Callithrix jacchus: one gene and its partners. The protein of the gene in region 1 interacts with the protein of each later gene in a pairwise test. Links are inferred from orthologs where the notes say so. Each region holds a gene or a part of one and is shown in the gene's direction. Other genes may lie near its edges.

Region 1 (5,225 bases):
AGTAAGCTTTCAAAAGGAAGCTCAAAAAAGCATGTGTTTTATCTGCCATCATTCACTGGAAGGCTTGCCTCACTTCTCTTGCTACAAAATGAGATCCTGGATCAGAAGCAGGGTTGAATTTGGTTCCATGAAAATGAAAAAGGCATGAAATCTGTGGCTGGAGGGAGCAGCAGAAATGTGGCAGGCTGGGAAGGCAAACCCAGATTCAGAATATGTATCAGTAAAACGTTAGAAAAACGATCTGTTTCCGTTGCTAGGAAACACACACTCCATTAGTCACCCCCAAGGGCCCCTGGGGGTCAGACCCTCTCATGACCCCCGCTCCAGCCCTCCGGCCCCTCTGACGACCCCCGCTCCAGCCCTGCAGCCCCTAAGATGACCCCCGCTCCAGCCCTCCAGCCCCTCTGACGACCCCCGCTCCAGCCCTCCAGCCCCTCTGACGACCCCCGCTCCAGCCCTCCAGCCCCTATGACGACCCCCGCTCCAGCCCTGCAGCCCCTCTGACGACCCCCGCTCCAGCCCTGCAGCCCCTCTGACGACCCCCGCTCCAGCCCTCCAGCCCCTCTGACGACCCCCGCTCCAGCCCTGCAGCCCCTCTGACGACCCCCGCTCCAGCCCTGCAGCCCCTAAGATGACCCCCGCTCCAGCCCTGCAGCCCCTATGATGACCACCGCTCCAGCCCTCCGTCCCCTCTGACGACCCCCGCTCCAGCCCTCCGTCCCCTCTGACGACCCCCGCTCCAGCCCTCCAGCCCCTCTGACGACCCCCGCTCCAGCCCTCCGGCCCCTCTGACGACCCCCGCTCCAGCCCTCCGTCCCCTCTGACGACCCCCGCTCCAGCCCTCCAGCCCCTAAGATGACCCCCGCTCCAGCCCTCCAGCCCCTCTGACGACCCCCGCTCCAGCCCTCCGGCCCCTCTGACGACCCCCGCTCCAGCCCTCCGGCCCCTCTGACGACCCCCGCTCCAGCCCTCCGTCCCCTCTGACGACCCCCGCTCCAGCCCTCCGTCCCCTCTGACGACCCCCGCTCCAGCCCTCCGTCCCCTCTGACGACCCCCGCTCCAGCCCTCCGGCCCCTAAGATGACCACCGCTCCAGCCCTCCGGCCCCTCTGACGACCCCCGCTCCAGCCCTCCAGCCCCTATGATGACCCCCGCTCCAGCCCTCCAGCCCCTAAGATGACCCCCGCTCCAGCCCTCCGTCCCCTCTGACAACCCCCCGCTCCAGCCCTCCGTCCCCTCTGACGACCCCCGCTCCAGCCCTCCAGCCCCTAAGATGACCCCCGCTCCAGCCCTCCAGCCCCTAAGATGACCCCCGCTCCAGCCCTCCGTCCCCTCTGACAACCCCCCGCTCCAGCCCTCCGTCCCCTCTGACGACCCCCGCTCCAGCCCTCCAGCCCCTAAGATGACCACCACTCCAGCCCTCCGGCCCCTCTGACGACCCCCGCTCCAGCCCTCCGTCCCCTCTGACGACCCCCGCTCCAGCCCTGCTGCTGATTGCAGTGGCCGTGCCCATTTTACCTTTGGAGCTTATGAACCATTACTTGGCCACTGTCAATGCTAAGATCCCATTATCCTCCCTGAAAGCAGGGAGGCCACTTCAAAGGCAAAGGCTCCCACTCAGCCCTGACAGGTTAAAGTCGCCGGCATACCTCACCAACAAGGTCCTCAATGATGGGCGAGGTATCCTCTCAGCCCTCTCAGCAGACACGGGGGATGGGTCCACTCCAGCATTCGGGGCTCCCGTCTTTGGGTCCCTTTGTCACGTAAGAGCATCTGCAGCATCTCGACTCCTTGCATCACAGGCCTCCTGTAACCCAGAAGTCAGTGAGCAGGCGAGCAGGCCATCGGAGATGCTCTCGACTGCGTTGGCTCCGCCGTGCGCACCTGCTGCCAGGATACTCCTGAAATGAATTTCAACATCGCACAGTCCTCTTAGCAGCAGACCATGGAAGCCTCACTGGCTGCTGTGGCATCAGACAGAACCTTCAGGAGTGCTGCAGTCAGGGTCACAGGCTGCATAGCCCAGGTCGTGGCCAAACCAGCGCCAGCAGGGACAGATCCCTCCGCTTGCACGTGGACAGTGGGAAGCCGACTCCAGAAGTTCCGACACCGCTTTCCATCAGCCATCTTCGTCAAAACATGGATGCTGCGTGTCCCTGCTTCCTGATCTGAGCTGAAGTTTGGGACGGCACATACGATGGGTTGAGCTCAGTGGCATGTCTGTTTTCCTGGGGAAGCTGGGATTTTAAATAAATTCTGTTTTCTACCACAGAGAAGAAGTTCTACTTACGTGCGAACTGTCCAAAACATAGGAAGACTATTTAGGAGATGCAGGAAGGCCACCAAGTGTGGCCACCCAAATGTCCTGAGTTCAAGCCTCCTGTCTCAGCCTCCTGAGCAGCTGGGACTACAGGTGCATGCCACCACACCCGGCTAATTTTCGTAGTTTAGTAGAGATGGAGTTTCACCGTATTGGTGAGACTGGTCTCGAACTCCTGACCTCAGGTGATCCACCCACTGCCCTAGTCCCCCAAAGTGCTGGGAGTGCAGGTGAGCCACAGCACCCGGCACACTTAGTGCTTCTCTTAAATGACCCTGGGATATGCTAAGATTCCTAATGAAGGCAGAGCTTCCAGTTAAACATATGAGTAGACAGCCTAGATGAAGCTTAAAATAATTACACTGAGTGAATAATGTCAGACAAAAAATCAAAAAGAGTGCATACTGCACGATTCTTCTTACGTAAAACTGCAGGTAATGCAAATGAATCATGGTGACAACAGATCAGTGATGGGGGGTGTGTGGGAAGAGATGGAGGAGAGATTTTAAAGGGGATGAGGAAGGGTTCGTGGGTGACAGGTGTGTTCCCGTCTTGATTGTGGTGCTGGGGGTTTCACGGGTATATATACATATGTCAAAACTTATCAAATTGTACACTTTAAATACGTGTGGTTTGTCACATGCTACTTATGCCTCATTAGAGCTGTTTTTAAAACATTAGACTGCTTCCCATTTGCTGGCCATTGGAATTTCAATTTCTGTAAAATGGGAAAAATAATACCTACCTCATAATTTTGGTGTGGAGATTAAATCAGTAAAAATTGAAAGGATGAAATGAGATGACATCTTCCCTTTGGTTCAGCTAAAAGCCTTGGAGTCACCCTTTCTCCCCTCTTTTTCTACACCCACATACAATCCCTGGGGACCTCCGGGGGTGAGTAATAGAGTGGGTGCGGTAGAGATGAAACGGGGTTGGCCATGACTCAAAGACCTGACAATTATCGAAGTGGGGAGATGGGTCCATGGGAGCTCAGGATATTATCCTCTCTACTTTTGTACATATTTGTATTTTCCACAATAATAATTAAAAAAACAGTGAGGCCAGGCATGGTGGCTCACACCTATAATCCCAACACTTTGGGAGGCCAAGGTGGGAGGATCCCTTGAGGCCAGGAGTTCCAGACCAGCCTGGGCAAAATAGTGAGACCCCATCAGCACAAAAATTTTAGAAATTAGTTGGGTGTGGTGGGGACGGGGCGCCTGTAGTCGCAGCCACTGAGGAGACTGAGGTGAAGGATCACTTGAGCCCAGGAGGTCCAGACTGGGCAACAGGGCAAGACCCTGCCTCAAAAAATAAGGCTGGGCGCAGTGGCTCAAACCTGTAATCCCAGCACTTTAGGAGGCCAAGGTGGGCGGATCACAAGGTCAGAAATTGGAGAGTAGCCTGGCCAATATGGGGAAACCCCATCTCTACCAAAAATACAAAAAGTAGCCAGGCGTGGTGGCGGGTGCCTATAGTCCCAGATACTTGGGAAGCTGAAACAGGAGAATCGCTTGAACCCAGGAGGCAGAAGTTGCAGTGAGCTGAGCCCACGCCACCGCACTCCAGCCTGGGCAACAGAGCAAGATGCCATCTCAAAAAATAAATAAATAAATAACAGTGTTTCCCCTTTCAACTCAGAGGAAAACCGAAGTCCTGATGGGCCCACGGTCCCCACACTCACCTCTCCCCTTGCCTCCTACTCGCCTCCTCATTCACTGCTCCAGCCCGGTCGCTCTCCAAGCTGTTCCAGGAACATGCCAGGCACTCTCTTGCCTCAGGAACTTGGCTCCAGCTGCGCCCCCACCGGGAATCCTCTGACTCAACTCAATGTGATCCTCTTGGTGAGTCCATCCTGACTGCTCCGTTTAAAATCGTTCCCACCTCCTCCTGCCACTTCCCATGCGCCTTCCCTGTTCCCCTTGTCTGCACAGCCATGAGCATCGTCCAATGCCCTGAATAACTATTGATGTATTTCTGTCTCCCCCACCACCCTCGCCCCGACCCCCTGGCAAATGTAAGTCCCGTGACGCCTGATTGCTGACTCTTCAGCATTTAAAGCAGTGCACAGCTGGTGCTTGATGATGAATGAATGAGCCATATACACATGTTCTACTGGAATGCTTGGTAGAGTGACAGCTATGGGATCCATCACCATCTAAAAATATTTCATCAAGTCATTTGATAAATCTAAGTTAACTGGCCAGTATTTTCTGTCCTGGTCTTTGAAATGAGACTACGATTAATGACATTTTTGTTAATTCTTGGGAAGTGGCAAGGTAGGGAAGGGTTGCCACAGTCTTTGGAGGAGGGCAGATCTGTTTCAGATCCTGGCACCGCCCCATGCCCGCTCTGTGACTTGGCCAAGGTGCCCAGCCCTCAAGCCGAGTCTCCTCAGTGGCTGTGCTTGCCACAATGCCCTGCAGTCCCGGACTGGGCTGAAAGCCCACCACCTGCCTTGTCTGAGTGAGCCCTTGTCTTTTCAGCAACAGGGACTGATCACCTCCAGAGCCTGCCCAGGTGCTGTGTCCCTTTGGGACCTGCTGGTGGGGTGAGTGAGTGATGGTCAGTTGCACCATTGAAGAGGGACAGAGGCCGGGCGCGGTGGCTCACGCCTGTAATCCCAGCACTTTGGGAGGCCGAGGCGGGCGGATCACCTGAGATCAGAAGTTTGAGAGCAGCCTGGCCAACACAGTAAAACCCCATCTCTACTAAAGAAAAAAAAATTAGCTGGACATGATGGCAGGCACCTGTAATCCCAGCTACCGGGAGACTGAGGCAGGAGGATCATTTGAACCCGGGAGGTGGAGGTTGCAGTGAGCCAAGATCGTGCCATTGCACTCCAGCCTGGGCAACAGAATGAGGTTCTGTCTCAAAAGAAGAAAAAGAAAAAGGGACAGAGTGAT
Region 2 (4,452 bases), on another chromosome or scaffold:
GGCTCGAAGCTAGTTTTATCCCCACAGAGAGGCATTTTCTCATGTTCTGACTCTTGCTAATCTCTCATTTCTTTGGGATATTTGAGAACATTACAGAATTTAATTCATACTATTTTCAAATCATTTGATGTGTCTTGGTCCAATCTTTCAAATTTGTAAACATTATGAGAAACATCTTGTGTTCCTAGCAGTGTTATTTGAATTTGTTGCACTGAATTGGCTTCAGATGTTTATTGAAAAATTGTTCAATGGGAAGAGGTATACAATTGGATACTGACAGAAAAGTGAGCCCAGAAAATTTAAAGTTTTTAAAATATGTGTTCAAAATATTTTCAAAATATTTGAACACATATTTTAAAAACTTATTTGTATTGCAAATATCTGTATGTATTGTTATCACATTCCAAGTTGACATTTTTCAATGACTACATTTTAAAAATCTCATTTTTTTTCTTAAACACCTATGTTAATTATTTTAAGTCTTACACTTTAAACATCAAAGTTTAAGAAGGCAGATGAAACAGCCATGATGACCTCAGTTTGAAAATTACTGATTTAAATTAGAATCAAATGAAAATTTTAAAGTCAATCCTTTTGTTAACGAAACATGGTTTTCTTTCCTTTTTATACACTGAACTTTCTTTTTAAATGTAGTTCCTTTGGCATTGTCTTATGTATGTCTTAAATAGATAGAAATTATTGGTTTTTTTTTTTTAATTGAGAACTTGTAACAAGTTAATAATTGGGTGATTTGTGTGAGACTATAATATGTTTATTAAACTACCATTTTTTCTGGATTTCAATACAGTATCTTTTATATTAGGCCTTACTTGTAAGTAGTATTTTGTGTAAGGGATAAGTATATAAAGGCCATAATATTAACAAAGATAGAATGAAATTAGTGTCAATAAATGAATCAGATCATAAAATTAATTTTATGTTTCCAATATACCTGTGGGGCTAACAAGACAACTACCCGCTTTGGGTCCTTTTCATCCACCTGTCCCCTTTGGATTTGCTGTTTTACATAAATACTGGGCAGTGGTTGATAGTTTTACCCTTTCCCCATGTATGTGCATATCCTTATCTCGTTCTAATTGATGAAGAAAAAGGCCTGGAGCTTTTTTCTTCTCTTTAAATGTATTACTCATTGGCCTTGGCTGGGGAGAGGTTAATTCATTTTGGACCTGCTACTATTATAAAGAGGAACACAGTTGGCTTTTCTGTTCATCTCTCTACCTGCAGCAGGTAATCATTGCCTAGTAGAGTTGTGAAGTTGATCCTTCATAATAACAGCATTTAGGAAGGACTAATTAATGTCTTGAAAATACCTAGGGACACCACTGGCAAATATAATTGTTCTGTTTAACGGCATATGGATAGATTTCTCTACATAAAGGAAAACTGTCAGTAGATTTACTCTTTCTTGGATAATGTAAAAAAATTTCATTACCAAATGTTTTTGGTAATGAAAGCAAAATTTTAAAGGTATGGAATTGATGATTCTGAATACGCTTATGACTTCTAATTTTTTATTTCTATTACATCATGTAATTAAAGATTTATATAGTTAAAATTATTTGAACTTAGGTGGTTTCTCTAATAGATTACTTGTTCAGGGAAATGATTGCTGAGAATGTGTGTTAGCAAACTTTAATACACACTTGAAACTTCAACATTCCTAGCTTCACTAGATTGTAAGCTCCTGAAGGGCAGGACTCTCGTCCTTTTTGTTTTTTTTCTGTTTGTACATTTTTTTTGAGCTGAGCTGTGTGTCTTGCATGTAGTTCATTACATATGTTTTGAAGATTAATCTCTTTCTAAATTAATATACCTATTCCTTAAGACTTGTCCCTCTGGTTTAATATGTTATAAGAGATCTGAGGGTTGGAAGAGACCTTAATCTGATAGTAAATTTTTAATAAGCAATATATGTAACATAAGTATTTCTGGAACATGTTGAGTTACCATTAATAACAGCAGAGAATTCTATGACAAGCAAACATAATATCTCTCTTTTTTTAATTCCTTTATACTGAAGTCAAAGGAGAAACTGTTTCAAAGCTTCAGTCAGAAATTTCAAGAGATGGTCAAGAAGATGGGATCAGCATAAATAATGTTCAACCAGAAAATACCACAGTGGCTCACAGTGATCTTGCTGAGAACTCCATTGTCAACTATGACTCCCAGGCCCTAAATATGTTAGCCGATCTAGCATTAAGCTCTGCTACCTCTTCCACACCAGTATCGGAGCCTAGAGATCTTCACTGTTCCTCTGAATTGCCACAGAATGATATTTCGCTCTCTAAAGAAAATTCTTTGCGAGGCACATCTGACCATGAATATCATAGAGGAGTTAAAAGTCAAAAAGGTGGATTACTACCTAACCCATCCTCTGATAGGAAGAGTAATTCTGGGTCAGACTTAACTGTTAGCCAAAATGAAGAAAGCTTGGTTGCTTGTAGCCAGACCCCTGCTAAAGCCCAGTCAGCAATTACTGAGGAAACACTAGAATCTTCAGATGCCAGCCAGAGCTCTTCTGTTTCTGTGGAACATTCATATGCTCTGCTCCTTACAGAAGAGTTAAAGAAACATCTTCAGGAGAAAGAGACACCAAGCCCTCCCTTTCCCAAGAATGGGACAAAAAGCCCTGAAGCAGTAACCCCAGTGGGGAAAGTCATGCCATTTCGGCATCAACCTGGCCTTTTGCTTCAGCCAAAACCTTCTGACGAGCCTGTGGTGAAGCACAAGGATCAACCGAAGTCTTCCAGTGTGAAAGAATCTTCTTGTTCTCATGTGGTGTTTAGCTGTGATGACTCCGTTAAGATCACTTTCAAATGTGAAACAGAATATGCATTCAGCTTAGATAGCAAATATACCAACCACCCACTGGAGAAAACTGTAGTTAGAGCATTACATGGGTGAGTATGAGTGAAACTTGGTGAAAATGGATGAAACTTTTCTGTTGAGATGAATATAGTGAGAGGGGGACACTTGTGCCAAACTCTGGAGAAGGAGAAACAAGTGTGTGTAAAACCAGTAATTTGATAATAACATCAAGCAAACATGTTTCCTGGCAAGTAAGAGTAACAGGCCGGTTTTCCCCTGTGTTCACATGGAGAACATTTTAAAGATAACTTTAGCCTAATGAATAGCTTTCCAGTTTGCAGTGGTCCTTTGTAAGCCCCTGTGGCTTTTGAATTTCGATTTTTAGATGAGATCTTAATGTGAAATAGTGTGACATTTAGAAATAATGGTTTACAGACTGGATTCCAGAAGAAACATTTTAAAAATCACTTGTAGCTTGGTAAATTGTTCAGATTGATAGGAATAAGCCGTTTCACATCAGATTGTTCTATAGATCTCCCTTAAGAAGGAATCAAGGCAATAAGAGCAGAGTGGTGAACAGCACAGGCTTTGGAGTGTACACTAACGTGGATTTGAACCCGAGTTCTTTCCCTTTCTTACCTCCTGTGATTCTGGGCAAGTTTCTTGCTTTTGGACGGTGCCTCTCAATCTTAATTGTGTATACTGCTCATCTGGAGATTGCATTGAACTGCAGATCCTGATGCATTCTCCTTGGGGAGAGGTCTGACATTCTGCATTTCTAACAAATTTTCAGGTGATATCAATGGTGGATGACAGTCTGGGCAACACTTTGAGTTTAGTAGTAGCTGTATCTTGAGATTACATATATTGGGACAATAGTAATAATAAATGGTAAATATCACTGTTAGCAAGAAGCATTCATTAGCTATATGAAATGACATTCAACTCCCTATTAATGAACTATTTCACATCTGACTAAATGGACTCTACAGCTGTCAGGCTGTCTTCCATGCACAAGTTTATATATACTCATAAGGGTCATTTCCTTAGAACTTCCTGCTGAGCTGTTGCCCAACTCTGCAGCCCCGCTAACTTACCCTGTTCCAGCGATCTGGCATCCTTTTGCCGGCCAGATGGCCAGAAATGTTTTCCATCTCCCCTTACAGTTTCAGGGTATTTTTCAGAACCGTAATCTGAAAATAGTATAGTTTTCTGTTGAATTGCCTAGAGAGATATTTTATCTTCAGACTATCATCTATTAGAAGGGAGACACAAAAATGGAAAATAAATGAATCAGCCAGACTTAGCAAAAGCATGTTGACGAGGATTTGCGTATTGGTGAAACCATTATTCACATAATTAGTATTCTGTGTCTAGAGTGAATTTGTATGGTGTAAAAGACATGTGCTAAACTAGGAGTCAGGAGATGCATGTTTAGATCATGATTCTGCCATGCAGGTTTTGTGATTTGAAAGAAGGCAATTACATGTTCTGATTCTCAGTTCCTGTCTCTGTAAAATGAGTGGGTTAGACTGATAATTATTTGTTAAGTCAACTACATTTTTACTCATTCATGCTTCATATCTGTACATTTTAAAAATAAAAACATAAAACCTAAGGTTA
Region 3 (5,213 bases), on another chromosome or scaffold:
CACCACATATCCTGCTCATTCAACCTGGAGTTGACACACCTTCTCAGGTGTCACCACCATTCATGTACATACACGACTAGTGATGCATCTTCATCAGACGCTGCTGATTAAATCTATCATGCTCAGTTACTCCTCCCAGGAAGAATCAAGCCATGAGAAAATGGAAGTAAGGTTAACGATGAGGAAAAGGAGAAGTTATGGAAAGTACTGGAAGTCTGGGGACATGAAATGGGCTGGAAAGGAAAGAAATTTAATGGGAGCTCCTAAACTCACAGGAGCAGAAAGGGGGCAAAAGGTTAGAATGAACTACCATAAATTGGAGGGGAAAAACAAGATGGATAAAGACATCGAAGATAAAAGTCAATTTTACCTAATGCACAACTCTGTCTCCAGCAGGATCTACTCCTCCAGGCTTAGTGGGTAGTAACTATCGGAACGTTGGCAGAGGTGCAGAAACTAAGAAATAAACCAAGACTACAAAATTGCCACTGTGCCTACCTCAGTACACCTTTCTTCCCCCACTCCAGGTAACACTCACATAGAAGGCACAGCACAAAATGAATGCCCACTGGTTGATTAGTAAGAAGTTGTAAAGTAGGCACAGAATGGCAAAGGCACCATCACACTGTTACCAAGCAAAGGAGGCTCACTGCCTGCTGCACTCCTAGAAGTCAAAACTATAACACTGGGTTTTTGAGAAAATAAAAACTTTTATAGAATGTCAACCAACAAGGAATTAGGAAGTCCAGCTCAAATCTGTCTCCCTGCGCTGGCTTTAGGGAAGTGATTTTATTAGAAAATGTTTCGAGTGTGAATTCAGGGACTATCAGGTGCTTGGTGGAAGGAATGAGGAGGTCTGGAAAGTCCTTGGGCATGTGCTCCTCTCTCTTCATGCTACCTAAGTGTTCCACATGCAAATTTAGGGAGGAGATAGTATGAAACATGCAGTAGAAATTCAGCTGTAAGGTCAGCAAGCTGGGTCTGTGCAGACTCCAGTTGGCCATATTGGTTCACAGGGATTTTGGCCAGTTTTATTAACATAAAAGCCCAGGCAGTTTCAGCATTTCAGCAAGTTGTTTCTTTTATCTGCCATTCTGTAAACTCAAGAATTTCTATGGCTTTTTTGTTGTTTCTGTTGTTTTGTTTTTACTCTTTGGCAGATAGTTTCAATGACCTTCTTCTCAGCCCTCACCTCCTGATTCCTGCAGCTCAGTTCTAACCTCCCACACTGTGTTAGTCGGTTCTCACACTGCTATAAAGAACTGCCCGATACTGGGTAATTTATAAAGGAAAGAGGTTTAGTTGACTCACAGTCTCCCATGGGTGGGGAAGCCTCAGGAAACTTACAATCATTGCAGAAGACCAAGGAGAAGCACTCACCTTTTTCACAAGGCGGCAGGAAGGAGTGGTGCTGAGAGAAGGGGGAAGAGCCCCTTATAAAACCATCAGATTTTGTGAGAATTCACTCACTATTACCAGAACAGCATGAGGGAAACTGCCCCCGTGACACAATTACTTTCACCCGGTCTCTCCTTTCACATGTGGGGATTATGGGGCTTGCAATTCAAAATGAGATTTGGGTGGGGACACAAAGCCTAACTATATCACACAACCTAACCTTCCCACATCCCATTCCTTGATGCGGGGGGAGGTGGGAAGAGGGGTGACACCGCTGTTTTCAGTCATCACAGGCACTCATGACCCTGTAGGTGCAGAGAAGGGGCTCACATTTATTTCTTTTGGGGAAAACTGAGGTAATCAAGGTGGGGCTAGGCCCTGGGGACAAGGCAAGTAAGGACTTTGCCACGTCCGCATTCACTAGAGAAGGAGCAGAAGCTCTGTTAGGGCGCCATCCCACGGGCTGCAGTTGCAGAATCCTGCAGACTCCATCCCCGATCTGGCCCCAATTTTTGCGAGGTGACCTGGGGAGGGAGGACAGATTGGATGCTCTGACCTCACCAGGGTCTGCGCTGGACCGTAGGTCTTCCTCCGCCCAGTCGGCAGAGAGAGTTTCCTGGCCGGCCCCAGAGAGCTCCAGATCTGACAGCCCTGGGAAAAGAAACTGAGATCACCTTCGCCGCCGCGGCCGCCAGAGGGCGCCTGGGGGCAGGGAGAGGGTGGGGCTAGGCGGGTCCGGCAGGAGGCGGGGCGGTGAGCCGAGAGGGGCGGGGCGAGGGGCAGAGAAGAGGGCCGGGGGCCGCAAGGCGGAAGAGGCCCTTTCACCACCGACCCGGCGCCTGGCGCTCTCTTCTTCACTCTTGGTACTGACGCGCGTTCTTGCCTATCCCGCAGCGTTAGGCTGGCTTCCTCCGAGGCCTCTAAGACCCGCCTACCGCACCCCGCCCGTCGCGCGGAAGCCCCCAGCTCCTCATGGACGCATCGCTTAGTGCCGCGGTCACGGCCACCGTCACAAGCGCCCCCAGCCCCACCCAACACCGGCCTGCCCGCCGTCCCTCTCCCGCCCCCGCACCTGCCTGCCAGCTCCACCGGGCCGCAGTGCGGGCAACCGCAACATTCCTGGCCCGCGGAGGCCGTCAGCTCCAGGAGGGGATGAAAGGCGCCGTCCCGCGGCGCCCCCAGATTCAGGTCCCAGGTGCGTCCGGACCCCGGAGGCACGGCTCGCAGAACGTTGACAGCCCGCGAGGTTCGGCCTCGGCCCCCGGTACCCTTCGTCCAAGCTACACCCACTCCTGGCCTTCCCCCCAAGTCCGAGGGAGAGGTGAGATTCTTCCTGACGCAGTTGGAAACTGGGAATCCCCTTTAGGGTAGGGTTCATGCTGCACCACTGACTCCACCATCTGCAAAGGGATTCTTGTGCAGAATCCCCGAATGCTTTAGGACAGCTCTTGGTTCTGTTATATGAAGAGTCTAATTTTCGGAAAGGCCACAGGCTTTTCATCAACTGAATTAAATTTCAGTTGATGTCCACAAAGCGGACTGGTACGAACCTGCTGGATGGTGGTCATTCTGGTGACTACTTGGAGACACCTTCCACTTTGTGGATTTGTTTCTGTTGAAATGTATTTCCATAGAATTTATTTAGGTCTCTGTTTACTACTGATTTGACGGCTTTAAGTGAGGAGGGAAGCCCGTGATTTCTGTGCAGCTTTAGATTGAACAATTTAGCAGCGCAAAATGTGTTTTCTGCCTGCCTTAACTCGATAAGCCAAATATGCCCTCCATTTCTTTTCTAGGTTGTGCCTTTTTAGCCAAGAAGCATGGAGGTCATTCACGGCAGGCCCTACTGTTGCAGGGAGCTGGAAGGCGCTGACATACTGTCCAACACCTTTTACTCTAATGAGTTGCACACCCCCCTCCAAATGGCTATTCGCCCAACTGCCTCAGAGGACAGGTAAAACAAAAACTAGAAAAAGCAAACAAGAAAAAGCAGTTTTAATGTATTAGTGTATTTTATTATGAGAGGAAAAACATTTATTTTCTGGGGCTCTTCTGTTGTTTGTTCGTTTGTTTTTGAGACATAGTCTTGCTGTCGCCCAGGCTGGAGTGCAATGGCGCGATCTCGGCTCACTGCAACCTCCGCTTCCAAGTTCTAGTGATTCTCCTGCCTCACCCTTCCGAGTAGCTGGGATTACAGGCATGCGCCACTGTGCCCAGCTAATATTTTTGTATTTTTAGTAGAGACGGGGTTTCACCATGTTGGCCAGGCTGGTCTCGAATTCCTGACCTCAAATGATCCACCCACCTCAGCCTGCCAAAGTGCTTCTGTTTATCACATCACAGTGAAGGCAAACGTGGCAATTAACTAAACCTTCGAGTGTCTGTAAGGAACCTGAGAAGTAAGTGGCTGTGTACTATGAAGACATCAAATTCATCCACTACATTGTAAAATTTTAGAATAGTCTGTTCCTTCATTGGGGAATTAATCTGTTTTAATCAAAGACTTTTTATTTTATAAAGAGAGTACTATATTGGTTTCCTAACATGCCCTTCTGCCATCTGCCCAAAAATACTCCCAGAATTTGCTGCTTATAGTTGTCTAAATTTTTGCTTTACCAAATTCCCTGTAACACATTAATTATACCATTATGATTTGAATTGTGGAAAGCAGTTTAGTGATTTCTCAACTCCGAACAGAATTACCATGTGACCTAGCAATCCCATTATTGGATTCTCAGTTGTTCTTATAAGTTGTTCTACCAAAGGAATATAAGTATTCTACATATAAAAAGATACATGCACAGGTCTGTTCATCAGCAAAGATATGGAATCAGCCTAAATGCCCATCAGTGGTTGACTGGATATAGAAAACATGGTACATATATACGATGGAATACTATGCAGCCATAAAACATGAGATCATGTCTTTTGCAGCAACATGGATAGAGCTGGAGGCCATTATTCTAAGCAAACTAACACAGGAACAGAAAACCAAATATCACATGTTCTCACTTATATGTGGGAGCTAAACATTGAGTACATAGGGAGACAAAGAAGGGAATAACAGACATCAAGGCCTACTTGAAGGTAGAGAGAAGGAGGAAAGCAAGGATCAGAAAACTACCTCTTGGGTGCTATGCTTATCACCTGGGTGACAAAATGATCTGTACACCAAACCCCTGCAACATGCAATCTACCTGTATAACAAACCTGCATATGTACCCCTGAACCTAGAATGAAAGTTTTTTTAAAAAAATTACAATGAAAAAAATTGCATCTAACATATCTAGTGATTACTGTGCGTTAGCACTCTACCAGATGCTTTGTATATAGTAATTATTTTAATTCTCATGAGAACCTTATAAGATAAATGCTATTGTTACCTGCATTTTGCATTTGAAATAACAGATAACAGACAAGTAATTTGCCAAGATCCTAGTGCCAGCACTTCCTGTATTGTATTTACTTGAATCATTTTGAGGAAAGAAAAAGGGAAAAAACACCTCAAAACACCTGGCCAGTGAAAAAATAGCCTGTGTGGTTGTCTACTTGTGTGTTTTGTGTTTTTTTAAGTTCACTTGGTCAAGTCTCTCATTTAAGAGTTCTTTAGGAAACCAGACAGGAAGTCACCCAGACTCAGTTTAAACACCAAAAAGGACAGCACTTCGACACCAGGCAGTCTATTCCATTTTTGAATGCTCCTGATTGTTAGATAATTTTCTTTATAATGAGAACAGTTTTTTTTCCTTATAATTTCTGCCTGCTGATTCTGGTTCCTCCCTCTGAAGCTATGCAAAATCATAATTCATCCTTCC

What was found.
Region 2: the proteins of KLHL40 (region 1) and TASOR2 interact in binary tests that used the Homo sapiens proteins (3 or more experiments, as listed by UniProt). The two-hybrid records come from large-scale screens. The link is inferred for Callithrix jacchus from reciprocal best matches to the Homo sapiens genes KLHL40 and TASOR2.
Region 3: the proteins of KLHL40 (region 1) and SPMIP4 interact in a two-hybrid assay, tested with the Homo sapiens proteins (2 studies listed by BioGRID and IntAct). The two-hybrid records come from large-scale screens. The link is inferred for Callithrix jacchus from reciprocal best matches to the Homo sapiens genes KLHL40 and SPMIP4.

The regions. Positions count from the first base shown.
Region 1 is NC_133518.1:80,429,154-80,434,378, forward strand, and holds the start of KLHL40 (kelch-like protein 40), read left to right. Parts: upstream 1-1,808; 5' UTR 1,809-4,076; coding exon 4,077-4,163; exon of another isoform or gene 4,164-4,180; intron 4,181-5,225. UniProt on the Homo sapiens protein: Substrate-specific adapter of a BCR (BTB-CUL3-RBX1) E3 ubiquitin ligase complex that acts as a key regulator of skeletal muscle development.
Region 2 is NC_133508.1:8,042,032-8,046,483, reverse strand, and holds part of TASOR2 (protein TASOR 2), read left to right. Parts: intron 1-2,041; coding exon 2,042-2,921; intron 2,922-4,452.
Region 3 is NC_133512.1:32,871,816-32,877,028, forward strand, and holds the start of SPMIP4 (sperm-associated microtubule inner protein 4), read left to right. Parts: upstream 1-2,150; 5' UTR 2,151-2,470; coding exon of another isoform or gene 2,471-2,776; exon of another isoform or gene 2,777-2,802; intron 2,803-3,194; 5' UTR 3,195-3,218; coding exon 3,219-3,352; intron 3,353-5,213. Other genes in the region: uncharacterized protein LOC118143655, read right to left, coding at 2,471-2,776. UniProt on the Homo sapiens protein: Microtubule inner protein (MIP) part of the dynein-decorated doublet microtubules (DMTs) in flagellum axoneme. May serve to reinforce and thus stabilize the microtubule structure in the sperm flagella.